Linked DNA regions of Oryzias latipes. The protein of the gene in region 2 interacts with the protein of the main gene of each other region in a pairwise test. Links are inferred from orthologs where the notes say so. Each region holds a gene or a part of one and is shown on either strand. Other genes may lie near its edges.

Region 1 (4,111 bases), on a different chromosome or scaffold from region 2:
TGGTTACCAGTGTGTTTCTTTTTGTGATAAAACTGTTCTTCTGCTCTTCCTCCAGAGGGCAGAATCAGATCAGCGTTCACACTCAACTGCCTGCTCCACCAAACAGTAGAGCACATTTAGAAAAATTGAGATTAAAAAACATTGTGTGAATTACTCCCCCAAGGTAATTAGCAGCAGAAAAAAACAGTTTTTTAAAAATTTGATTTTGTCTTGGTTGGATAGTTAAAGGGTTGAAAGAGTTTGATGACAACTTCTTGAACCTAATAAAAAATAGAGAAATTGTAAATAATATAAAAAATTAACACCATCATTTGGGTGGTGGAAATGGAGTGTTTTGTTTTTTTTTACTCCTTTTTAAGTAAACATGTTTAATTTTTCTTTTACTTTGGTTATAATCAGTTTTTTGCAAGTTACTTCCAAAACGTAACACATTTCTGAAGTAATGCCTTGTATTAAAAGAATTCTGGCTCAAAATCGCACTGCTTCACATGTCTCCTGAAGCATTACCTTTAAGCTTGTACCTGCACAAGCAAACCATAACAATTTAAAGTGGCATTTTAGTCTATACTTTTTTGAAAAGTATTACTACTCTAAAAAAAAGCCTTATGTACCTCTAAAAGACTAATATCCACAAATAAAATGCTACTTGAAGTAGGTTAATATGACCACCCTTAACTTACAACAACAGGTCAGGCAGATATGGATTTAAGGGGTGAAATGGACCTGACATGAAAAGGAAATAATTTTTTTAGGTCTAGTTATCCTAACAGGAAATTTGTCTCCATAATTTAATTTGAGACAAAAATGTGAAAAAGCGTACAGTGACCTACAACACCTATAGGCTACTGCTGAGGTGGCAAGTCTGTTGTAATACAAGAGTTACTAAACATTCACTGAGTGAAATGTAAAATATATTTATTGGTAATACTTTACATAACTGTTATTTTACAAAGTTGAGTGTTTGTGTAATTAAATACTTTTATTGTGAGTTACTACCAATTATGTTCATGGTATAAAATACATCCTGTTTTTTTTGGTGTGTAATTGTTATTATCATGAATTTTTTTAATTATTGTTTAAAGTATTTTATTATTGATGTTATTTTATATTCGCTTATTATTTAATTATGTGAAACCATAAAAGTACTGTTTACTCGAAAAATGATTGCAACGATTGAAACGCGAGCATTTAAATGACGTATGTTGCACAGTTTCGGTTTCCGCTCTCTGATTGGATAAATGGGCGTTTACGTAGCAATGGTCCGGAAAATGTCGTTCGGGCCAGTCCGAAGAAACTTCCGCCTCAAGTTGTAAAGAAAACACAGGAGCTAAAAGGCAATCGACGGAATAGCCAGCAGTTTAAAGAAGTCAGATCAAAGGTAGAACCAAATATCGTTTTTTTTTTACAAGTATAGGATAATTTGCGCAGCGCAGTCAGTTTGTGTAAGTGTTTAGGGCCGTTTGGGATTAAAGCTTCAATTTATTTGAGCTAGCTACGCTATTCAAAGCTAGCAGTTTGCTAATATCGATTCGATCGCTTATAGGCCTCAAGTGAATGTCTTTAAAATTAGATCGATTTACATGTGTGACTTAACACCAACAGGTAATAGTGCTGTTTTTTAAACATTGACATTACTTCGTTTTATTTAAAATACATTTCTTAATTTTATGATACGTCAGCGACTTAGCCTTTCTGATAGCTCGTTAGCACTACCACCTACTAGGGCTATCTGTATTTCGGTAGCTAGTGTTAACTGGTCAGTTTAGCTTCCAACTGAGACGAGCAGCGCTTCAGACACCATTATACGAATAAAAACTAGACCAACTTTGTCTCCTTTTGTTTAAGCATTTACACTCACCGTTTTCAGTAATATTTCATCTACGAACACTTGTCATTCTTACCTAGTCTGTGAAGTAGTTTTTTTTTTTCTAATGTGACTAGTTACTTCTTTACGTATGTTGCGTTTTAGAAACTTAGCGATAATAATATTGTTTGTCAAGTAATTAGATTTAAATTAGATTTTCAGTTAAGTTCACAGTGAGGTTTTGTTAAAAAAAAAGGAACATTATTAAAGCGTGCCACTCCCCTTAACCAAATTAAAAAAGTCAACAGGTTCTCTTACCTTTGGCGTCAAAACATAGCCTCTGTGTGGGCGGGTTAGCGTATGATTCTTTATTTTTCAGATTTTACTTTTTAGTAACTGCTATTAATCATCACAGAACAAACTACTATGTGGCACTGTAGATTTATTTGAAAAACTTTAATTTGAGTTTTATCTCTGCAGATAAAAAAAAAACATAAAACATTTTAGGTTAGGTAAGCCCCTATGTTGTTGTTTTTTGGGGGTTTAATGTAAATTCATAAGAGTAGTCTATAAATGTAGGTACAAAATTGTATTTATGAACGAATTATAGAGAATTATTTTAAATCTTAATTGAAATATCTTTAACAATAATAAAATTGGATTTAGATTTCATTATACTTTTACAATTATAATTAGCTTCTTATTTTATTAAAAACCCCAAGTACCCCCCCTGAAGTGGCACTTGGTACCTACCCCTTTGTGCTTTATGACTAATATATAGTCAGGTATTTTTTTATTTTCCTTTTCCTTTTATGGTAGACCCCTGTTATGGCATTAGTGAAACATTTACAAGCTGTAAACTAACTTGGATCATTTCTTTTTCTTTAACTTGAACAGGTCAAGTGTGACTGAAACCTAAGGCTGTCCATTCCAGCTGCTCTTTCTAATGGTAGCTGGAATGTCAGTCTATTTCCATTAAAAAAAAATCTGTTTATGGATTTTACTCTAATATTTGCGCCTTTGCACAATGTGCCAACAATGTTTTGAAATTTATATTTGAATGAATGGAGCTTGTAGATAGAAGAGCTACTTCCCCAATTAGGAGCAAGGCTAAGCAATATTCTGTTTTTCCTCTCGGTACCAAGTTCTGTAAATTATTTCGGCTCATATCTAGAAATTATTTTCTTGCGGAATTGGAACCGATGTAATTGAACAAGGACTAATATCTTTGTAAAAGTAAAACCAATGATTCACCATCAAGTTAATGGAAACCAAAAGCTGGTTTTTATAAAGATAATCAAATTTCTAACCTTCATCAATAACCGTCTATTGTTGTTTTATTTTCTTTGCAGGTCACTTGCATTCTGGAACTTGTGCGGCTTGTCCTGTGTGTGTGTATGTGTGTCTGTGTGTGTGTGTGTCTGTGTGTGTGAGTGATTGTGTGTGTATGTGAGTGGGTGTATGTGTGAGTGTGCGAGAGCTGCACTTTCTTTGTCACTAATTTAACAAGTGCTGCTCCTCCCTGGAGGATGACAATGGAGGAGATGAAGAATGAAGCGGAGACTAACTCCATGGTATCCATGACGCTGTATGCTGTGATGTTCCCAGTTTTTAATGAGGTAACATTGCCATCACAATTAAAAAATGAAAAAACATTAGTCCAAAAAATACATATTTTTTATAGAGTTTTAATTGAAGTTGACAGATGTTTCTCTTATCATAAAATCCAAATTTAGTACCTAAAGTAGAAGAATTGATATTTCTGAACTTTTTTCAAAATTTTGTAATAGTAAATGCTTCTCAAAAATTGTTTCTAATCTTTTCTCTTTTCTGTGAACGTTTTTGTTAACGCTAAGCACCGCTCTCTGTCCTGGTGTGTTTTGTTTTTTAATGGCCTGTACTTTTTTTCTTTGTTTCTTCTTTTTAGCTGGAGAGAATCAATCCATCAGCAGCTCAGACGCTCAGGGCAGCTTTCATAAAGGTGAGACCTCGTGAATCAACCAAGAGGAAATGTAAAATCATGTGATCCCACTCCTGTCATATGTATGTTGCAAAGAGTATGAATGTGTGTCATAGCAATTGGGTACAGTAATTTAAAAAAATAAATCCTATTGTTGAGTTATGCGTCTTCATGGTTGGGGAGGGCATCTGGAAATTAAATGAATGACTTCTGCTTTAAAAAAGAAAAAAGCTTTTCTGTGTTTAACTTCCTTCATGTTGAATTTAGCTTTAAAAAAAAAGAACTTGCTGAGATTTTTCACCAAAGTCATTTTTCCATTCACCTTCTTAAAAGCAACAGAAATTAAT
Region 2 (3,222 bases):
TTTTGAATGACCCAAAATTCCAACAGGAAGTCAATCTTTCTCTATCTGTGAGTGAAATTGGAAGCACACAAAAAATGACTCACTACTACCTAACCCCCAAAGGACTATGTAGTTCAGGACTATCTACTGCTCTGGATTTTAACGCAATTCGGACACCATGCTCACTACATTTTTTTCAAATGATAGATTGTTCTAACACAATGCATTGTGGTTCGGGGCTGCTCAATATGAGGAAAACCTGCGATCTGCGAGATTAGTGATCAATATTGCGATAATGATATAACTTGCGATACATAAACATATCAAAAATATCAATTCCATTTCACTGCAACTGTTTAATTTGAATAAGAGTCGACATAACTTGGTCAAACGCATAAAGGGATTTATTTGATTAATTAAATAATTCAAGCTGCCATAAGATTGTTTAAGTACATTTACTGTAACCATTTATTGCAATTTTTGCCGTCTTTTACGATATGCGTATTATGAACACCTGGATACTGCGATAACAATATATTTGCAATTTATTGAGCAGGCCTAATTATGGTTTATATTCACCAGTTCTACCTTTTCTATTCTAATCTTTAGCAGGGACTTCTGAGAAATTTCCAGAGCTCTGGATTTTATAATTGTAGATTCGGACACCCCTGCAAAACGGTGAACACCCGCACACCAAGTAGTGAAAAGTGAAGGACTCTGATAAAGCCAGGACTCCTCCCTCTTTTTAGCACTTGTTTGATCTCAGTTATTTAACAAAGTTTATTCAAGGTCACTGCATTTGGTTTTCTTTTGAATTATTTTATCTAACCCCTTTAACACTGGAATAACATTTAAATAACATAGCCTAACTCTTCGACTGATAACCTAATCACTGCTAATCGGCTGATTCTGACGTGAAGAGAAATGGCCTTTCTTATCGTCTTTGCACCAATTCGCAACACATTTCTAACATAAAGTTTAGCGTATCGTGCAAGGGCCCATTTCTCTGCTTCAGAATTTGCTGGAACTACGCTAATTGTGTAGACGGTTACGGTAGTCGAAAGAATGTAAACACTGGAACAGGTTTCTGGTTGCAGCTCTATAACTGACCGTCCTGTCTCCCTTACAGCTACATCTACGACCCCTCTGTGGCGGTGGAGGAGCGGAAGGCCGACTCATCAGGCAACTCCCTCTACCAGTCCCACCACCAAACAGCAGGGGGCCTCAACAAGCAGAAGCAGGGCTTCCACAACCTGGGCTACAGCAGATCCAACGACAGCACGCTAAAACTGGAGTTTGACAACAACCAAGTCAACCACAGGCTGCACGCCGCCGGGAGCGCTGCCCCTGTGGAGGCGGGGCCGTACATCATTCAGCCCGAGGTGCGATGGGAAGACAGAGGGACGAGCCAGGTGCCAATTTACCCCAGCATCCAGGAGTATGAGCGGCAGAGGTGCTGCACCGAGACGCAAAGGAATGGGTGGGACTCCTCCATTAGCCCGCCGGGGAAGACGGGAGGCAGGAGCTCCTCGGTCGACGAGATAGACGAGGGCGTGGGGGGGACTCCGGAGTACACGGGCGACACAGGAGACGAAGGGAGCGTCTTGTCCGTGGACATCCACACCAGCACCACCAGTTTGTCCTCAGCCGGCACACGAGACGGCCTCACTCCGCCAAAGACTTCAGACGTTTCCACCGAGGAGAGCGGGATTTCAGTGACGAAAAGCGAGGATGAGGAGGAGGTCAAAGACGAGCTGGAGGAGGTGCAGAGCGTCACAGACTCCATGGTGGCAGAAGCCCTCGCTGCGTTGGAAGCAGCCACAGCTGGAGAGGACTCTGAGTAGCAGAAAAACCAGAACCAGACTCAAAGAGACTCAGGGAAACCAGAGAATATGAAGAAATGCTTTTTAGACAGATTTATTTTGGAACTATTTTTATAAATGTGAAGGAACATCATGTCTGCTTTCTTATGAAGGGCTCTTCAATTCCAAAGGCTTGAATAATGACTGAGGAGACACCAGTGTGAACTGAATACCCCCTGTGGCTGTTTCACACTGTGTACTTAACACTCCACAGTCCGGAAAACCACCAATGTGCTCACACTCGCCACAGAGGGGTTTATTCAAAAGGTTGGGGGTAAGACCTGCAGATGATATGTTACCTAAAAAGTGCAGACGATTGATAGGAAAGACGAAGAGACACTTCTCAACATTTCCTTCTTTCTGATTTTAAAATAAAGCTAAATAGAATCAGCCAACAAACATTTTTGTGGAAAAAACTGCTTTGTTAGTAGTTTCTTTGCAACATTGATTTTAGTTTAGGTTTTCATATGCGACCTTCATAACTGACCTTTTACCGCCAGAGCTTCACAAAGGTTAGCTCTCACTAAATGGTGTGGAGAGCTTCGTTTCTCATCTTATTTCTCCTCCTGTAGGTCAAGCCTTGTGTTTCCCGTCCGGTCAGTGACATTAGTTCAGTGCCTAGTAATGAACTAATTGAGGCCAGAAACAAATAATTATGAGAACGAGTGAAATAAATGATCTGTTAAATTAATGAAGTTCAGCCTTAGTTTCAGAGCCAGCGCCCTTTCCCGGGGGTTTGCTCGCCAAATCTTTTCCGCTCGTTGTATTTGTGTTGAGAACGTTAATACAAGTGCAATAAAGTTGTGTTCAATCATTTGTTCTCTTGCTGTGTTTTTCAAATGCTAGTGTCTTGAGAAGTGAGCCGGCTAGCAGTGAGCTAACTTGCTAGCTTATCAAAAGTAAACCCCGGTTTATGTTCAGCTCTGGCAGAAGCATATTACACAAGTCAAACATGTTTGAATTCTTTCATTTTTGTGTTGTTGTTTTTTGTGTTTTTTTTTATTATGAATTAGTTTGTTAGCATAAGCAGTAAAGTCAGTGTTTCTTAGCATAGACTACTAAAACAGTGAGCGTTAGCATAAAATGTTCAGTCAGACTGTGTTGGCATAGATGAAGTCGGCTTGTCTTAAATAGTCTCCTAAATTTGCATATGTTAGCATAGACTTCTGAATTGCCGTGTGTTAGCCTAGATTGCCTAGCCAGCATAGACTGCTGAGTCAGCATTTAAGCATAGACTGGTGAGTCAGCAAATGTTAGCTAGCATGGACTGCTGAGTCAGCATGTTAGCATGGACTGCTGACTCAGCGTGTGTTAGCATAGTCTGCTAAGTCAGCATAGTAACATGGTAATACTGGGCAGAGGTTCTTGAAGTAGAAGCTTC
Region 3 (3,654 bases), on a different chromosome or scaffold from region 2:
CCTGAGAGAGACTATTGATAACAACGTAAATGCCCTACTTCTCAGAATTTGATACTGCATTTAGATACTCTTACATAGACTCCCATATTGACATTTCACTTGCAGTACAGCTTTGCTGTGGCATTTTGTTTCTCACCACATGTACTCATCTGACTACCTAAGAACTCCAACCCGAGCATGAAGGTGTTGCTGGTATTTGATTGCCTTTTAGAGGACAAGCAGACATTTTTTTTCCTGTTGTACTTCAGTGAAAAGTCCAAGGTTTAAGGAGTTTTTGACTGCCCCCCCCCCCCCTTGTTTATTGTGCGTGTTTCCTCCTGCATGTTTGGGTGTCTGGCGTGGTCCTCGACAGTCTGTGAGCTCCCCTCTCCAGTCTCTCCAGCAGAGGACATGGCTCATTCACTGGTCTCTCTTCGTCTTCTTCAACCACCCCAAAGGGAGAGACAACATCATCGAGCTCTTTCTCTATCAACCCCAGTAAGTACTTTTATCTTCTTGTAGTGTTTTTTATCTAGAGGATCAAAAAAGTGCTCAGAGGTTAAAGAGAAGAACCTTTTTTGTTAAATTCTAAGAACTTTAGACTATTTATCAATATAGCTACAAGTATACTTGGAGTTGTAGCACCGCTATACTACTTTTATAAGATTATATGAAGGTTTTTTTGGCTGTTCTTCATCACTAGCACAGAGGAATCTGTCTGCTGACAAGTTTTTTCATTTACCCGGGTGCAGTAAAGATACTGCTGCAGGAAAAAAAGGGTTCCTGCTTCTTTGACATGAAGTTGACTTAAATGAACATTTGTGCTTCAACAACAGTTTTTGGGTGGTGGGCTTCCTTGTGAACCCTGCTGGTATGTTGCAAGTGGTTTCAGAAGTGTGTGTTTTTCGTGTGGTCTGTTTACTCTCCAAGCCCAGAAGCAGGCCATGTGTATTGCAGATCGGAAACTTTATACACTGTGTTAAAATTTGCACACCACCCAATTTGATGCCTTTGCACCCCCTTTACCCCCCTTCCCAGTTCTGATTGCAGGCTTGTGTAATTGTACAGATGATTGGCCTCCACAGACAGTATGACAGGCGACCACAACACAGCACACTCAAATGTCTGGTTGCCTGAATTTTACTTGGTTTTTCATTTTATTGTGAATGATTTAAGGGGGCCAGCCCAATAATTACTCATGAAAAGTGCACCCAGCCATCTGTTTGGACAAACTGAGGTAGTTTTGTGTGCTTTGCATTTTCACAGTGTAGAAACCTCATGTTTTCCCCACTGGAGCTTGGTTTGGCTTTGGTTTCCTATCTGTTGACCAGCACTTCCTTTGGCAGCAGTTGGTGACCAGCGGCTGGCCTTCAGCTCCACATTTGACCTCTCTTACCCCTGCAGTCAGCAGATGGGCTTTCACAGCTTGTTTCTGCAGCATGCACATTCTACATGAGCTGCAGCACTAGTTAGTTGGGTTAAAGCAGCTTTGCACAGGTGTCAGTCATACAAATATGAACTCCAGAGGTTACTGCCAAGTTACCGTAATTTCCAGATTATAAGCCGCTACTTTGGTCACACGCTTTCAACCCTGCGGCTTATTCAATGATGCGGCTAATTTATGCATTTTTTTCTTTTTAATGCATTTTTTCTAACCGCCACTAGGGGTGCTCGAGCAGAAAGGGTAAGAGAGAGACGGGGAGAATACGTTATATGTGTCGAGAAAGACGCAAGTTTAATGTAAATTCCTGCTTTGTGAATGAATAGTACAAACAGACCCTCATCATGGAAAATGCAAGAAGAAATGCATATGCCGCAGCTTTCAAGTTAAAAGAAGTGTGAAAAAATCCACCATCGTAGGTACGGGTTTGGAAAAGCCGGTGTGCTGCGTGACGGAGAGGACAGCGCAAGCTCAGGAGAGAATTTACCTCAGGATGAGAGTGACACTGACAACTACAAGGAAGGAGAGACTGAGAGAGAGTGTAGCGAAAGAATATCTGACGCTATTTCAATACGTCACTGAGGAGGAAGACTTCCATGGTTTCAGTGCACAGACGCACAAACGCGCTGCTGCTCTCAGTGACTTTTACCGGTATGCTTTTTTTAACCAGTCCTGTTAGAGCTGTTACTACCATATTGCTGCCGCGTCACATGCACTGTTTGGAATAGAGCTGTGACGGTGTGGGATTTTTGAACACCTCTGTGATGAAGCAGCAGGAGCTGCAGTGCTGTGGTCCGCGCCCTACCCCCATCACAAAATCCCCCAACGGCCGTTTCGCAAATGAATACCGGTACGAGTAATAATTACAACACAGTATTCTTTATTAACAAATAACAGTAACTACTAGCTATCTAATGAACTAATTCTATAGGTGTTGTAGAATGAGTATGTGTGTCAGCGAGCTGTGTGTAAGAGGAAGGAGCCTCCCTTTTGCGCTTCACGAGTTCTCCCCTCGCTCCGCTTTTACCGCTCCCTCCTCTTTCTTACACACGCAGCGCAAGATTTCAGCACATCCTCAATCAACAACACATGTTTCAATGTGGGCACATGCGGCTTATAGACAGGTGCGGCTTTTGTATGTACAAAATGTTTCATCCTTTAAAAAATGTTATGGTTGCAGCTTATAATCAGGTGCGCTCCATAGTCCGGAAATAACGGACCTTTTTTTTTTTTTTGTTTTTTTATTCTCCTCCAGACTCCTTGTGGTGATCCATAGTATTGTAGTTTTGGCTCTGGAGTTTAAGTCGCAGATACCAAAATATTCATAACAAAAGAAAAAATCCTAGACCGGTGGCACTGGAGTATAAGTTAAACTTTTGGGAGCAATGTATAAAATACGGGACCAAGAACAGACATTTCATCTTGAAAGGCAAATCATATCAACAGAATAGACAAGAAGAATAGACTGAATATATGCACACTTCACTACCGTAAAACATTGATGCTTATTTAGATTCATAAAACACAAGAGGAATCTAGTATTTTGGCACAACATATGAACAATTATTCAAATACCCATCACATAAAGAACATGCTAACAAGTCAACTAAGCTCTTTATATCACTTCTGCAGAGCCCACTGTAAAGGCCCGTACACACCGGGCCGAATTTCGCGCGCGATATTCGCCGACGTTGAACACCTCGTGACTAAACAAAGGGCACCAATGTGAGTGTGCACACCGACGCGAAAAACGCCACGCGTAAAAGCGTCATTTTTAAAAAAACGCCTCGGGTTTGTTTTTTTGGTTTGACCCGCCGCGTCAAAGACTATTCGACCAATGAGAATGGCGCTTTTGCACACGTGTCTGGAGCTTCTGAAGTTACAGTAAAACACAACTTGGGGGTGCTCAAACACAAAACTGTCTTGCTGAGCACACATACGTCACGGCGAAGAAGATACACGCCAAGTACCGTCAACACTGCCGCGAAGAAATAAGACGAAGATGCAACTCACTGACGGACATTTTAAAAATCCCCGAAAACGCTCATACATTTTCAGCTCTTGTACCAGTCGATAAAACTCCCCATGTTCTTCTCTTCTCGTAACTATGGGATGTTCCCAAAATCGACGTCTTTTCCGACGTCTTTCATCATTCAACAGAACAATCATTTCTTCATCGCTGGAACTGGAGCTGGAGCAACTGATGCTTGAAATATTCATGTTTTCTTTGTATG

Evidence for each region.
Region 1: the proteins of uncharacterized protein LOC101165509 (region 2) and pdcd10 interact in binary tests that used the Homo sapiens proteins (3 or more experiments, as listed by UniProt). The two-hybrid records come from large-scale screens. The link is inferred for Oryzias latipes from reciprocal best matches to the Homo sapiens genes PGCKA1 and PDCD10.
Region 3: the proteins of uncharacterized protein LOC101165509 (region 2) and eif3e interact in binary tests that used the Homo sapiens proteins (3 or more experiments, as listed by UniProt). The two-hybrid records come from large-scale screens. The link is inferred for Oryzias latipes from reciprocal best matches to the Homo sapiens genes PGCKA1 and EIF3E.

The regions. Positions count from the first base shown.
Region 1 is NC_019880.2:9,011,139-9,015,249, reverse strand, and holds the start of pdcd10 (programmed cell death protein 10), read left to right. Parts: upstream 1-1,248; 5' UTR 1,249-1,378; exon of another isoform or gene 1,379-1,602; intron 1,603-3,156; 5' UTR 3,157-3,333; coding exon 3,334-3,423; intron 3,424-3,731; coding exon 3,732-3,785; intron 3,786-4,111. UniProt on the Homo sapiens protein: Promotes cell proliferation. Modulates apoptotic pathways. Increases mitogen-activated protein kinase activity and STK26 activity. Important for cell migration, and for normal structure and assembly of the Golgi complex.
Region 2 is NC_019876.2:15,196,344-15,199,565, reverse strand, and holds the end of uncharacterized protein LOC101165509, read left to right. Parts: intron 1-1,108; coding exon 1,109-1,823; 3' UTR 1,824-2,655; downstream 2,656-3,222. UniProt on the Homo sapiens protein: Acts as a tumor suppressor. Acts as a tumor suppressor for colorectal cancer cell proliferation by targeting KEAP1/USP17/ELK1/CDK6 axis.
Region 3 is NC_019874.2:3,407,275-3,410,928, reverse strand, and holds part of eif3e (eukaryotic translation initiation factor 3 subunit E), read left to right. Parts: coding exon 1-25; intron 26-352; coding exon 353-477; intron 478-3,654. UniProt on the Homo sapiens protein: Component of the eukaryotic translation initiation factor 3 (eIF-3) complex, which is required for several steps in the initiation of protein synthesis.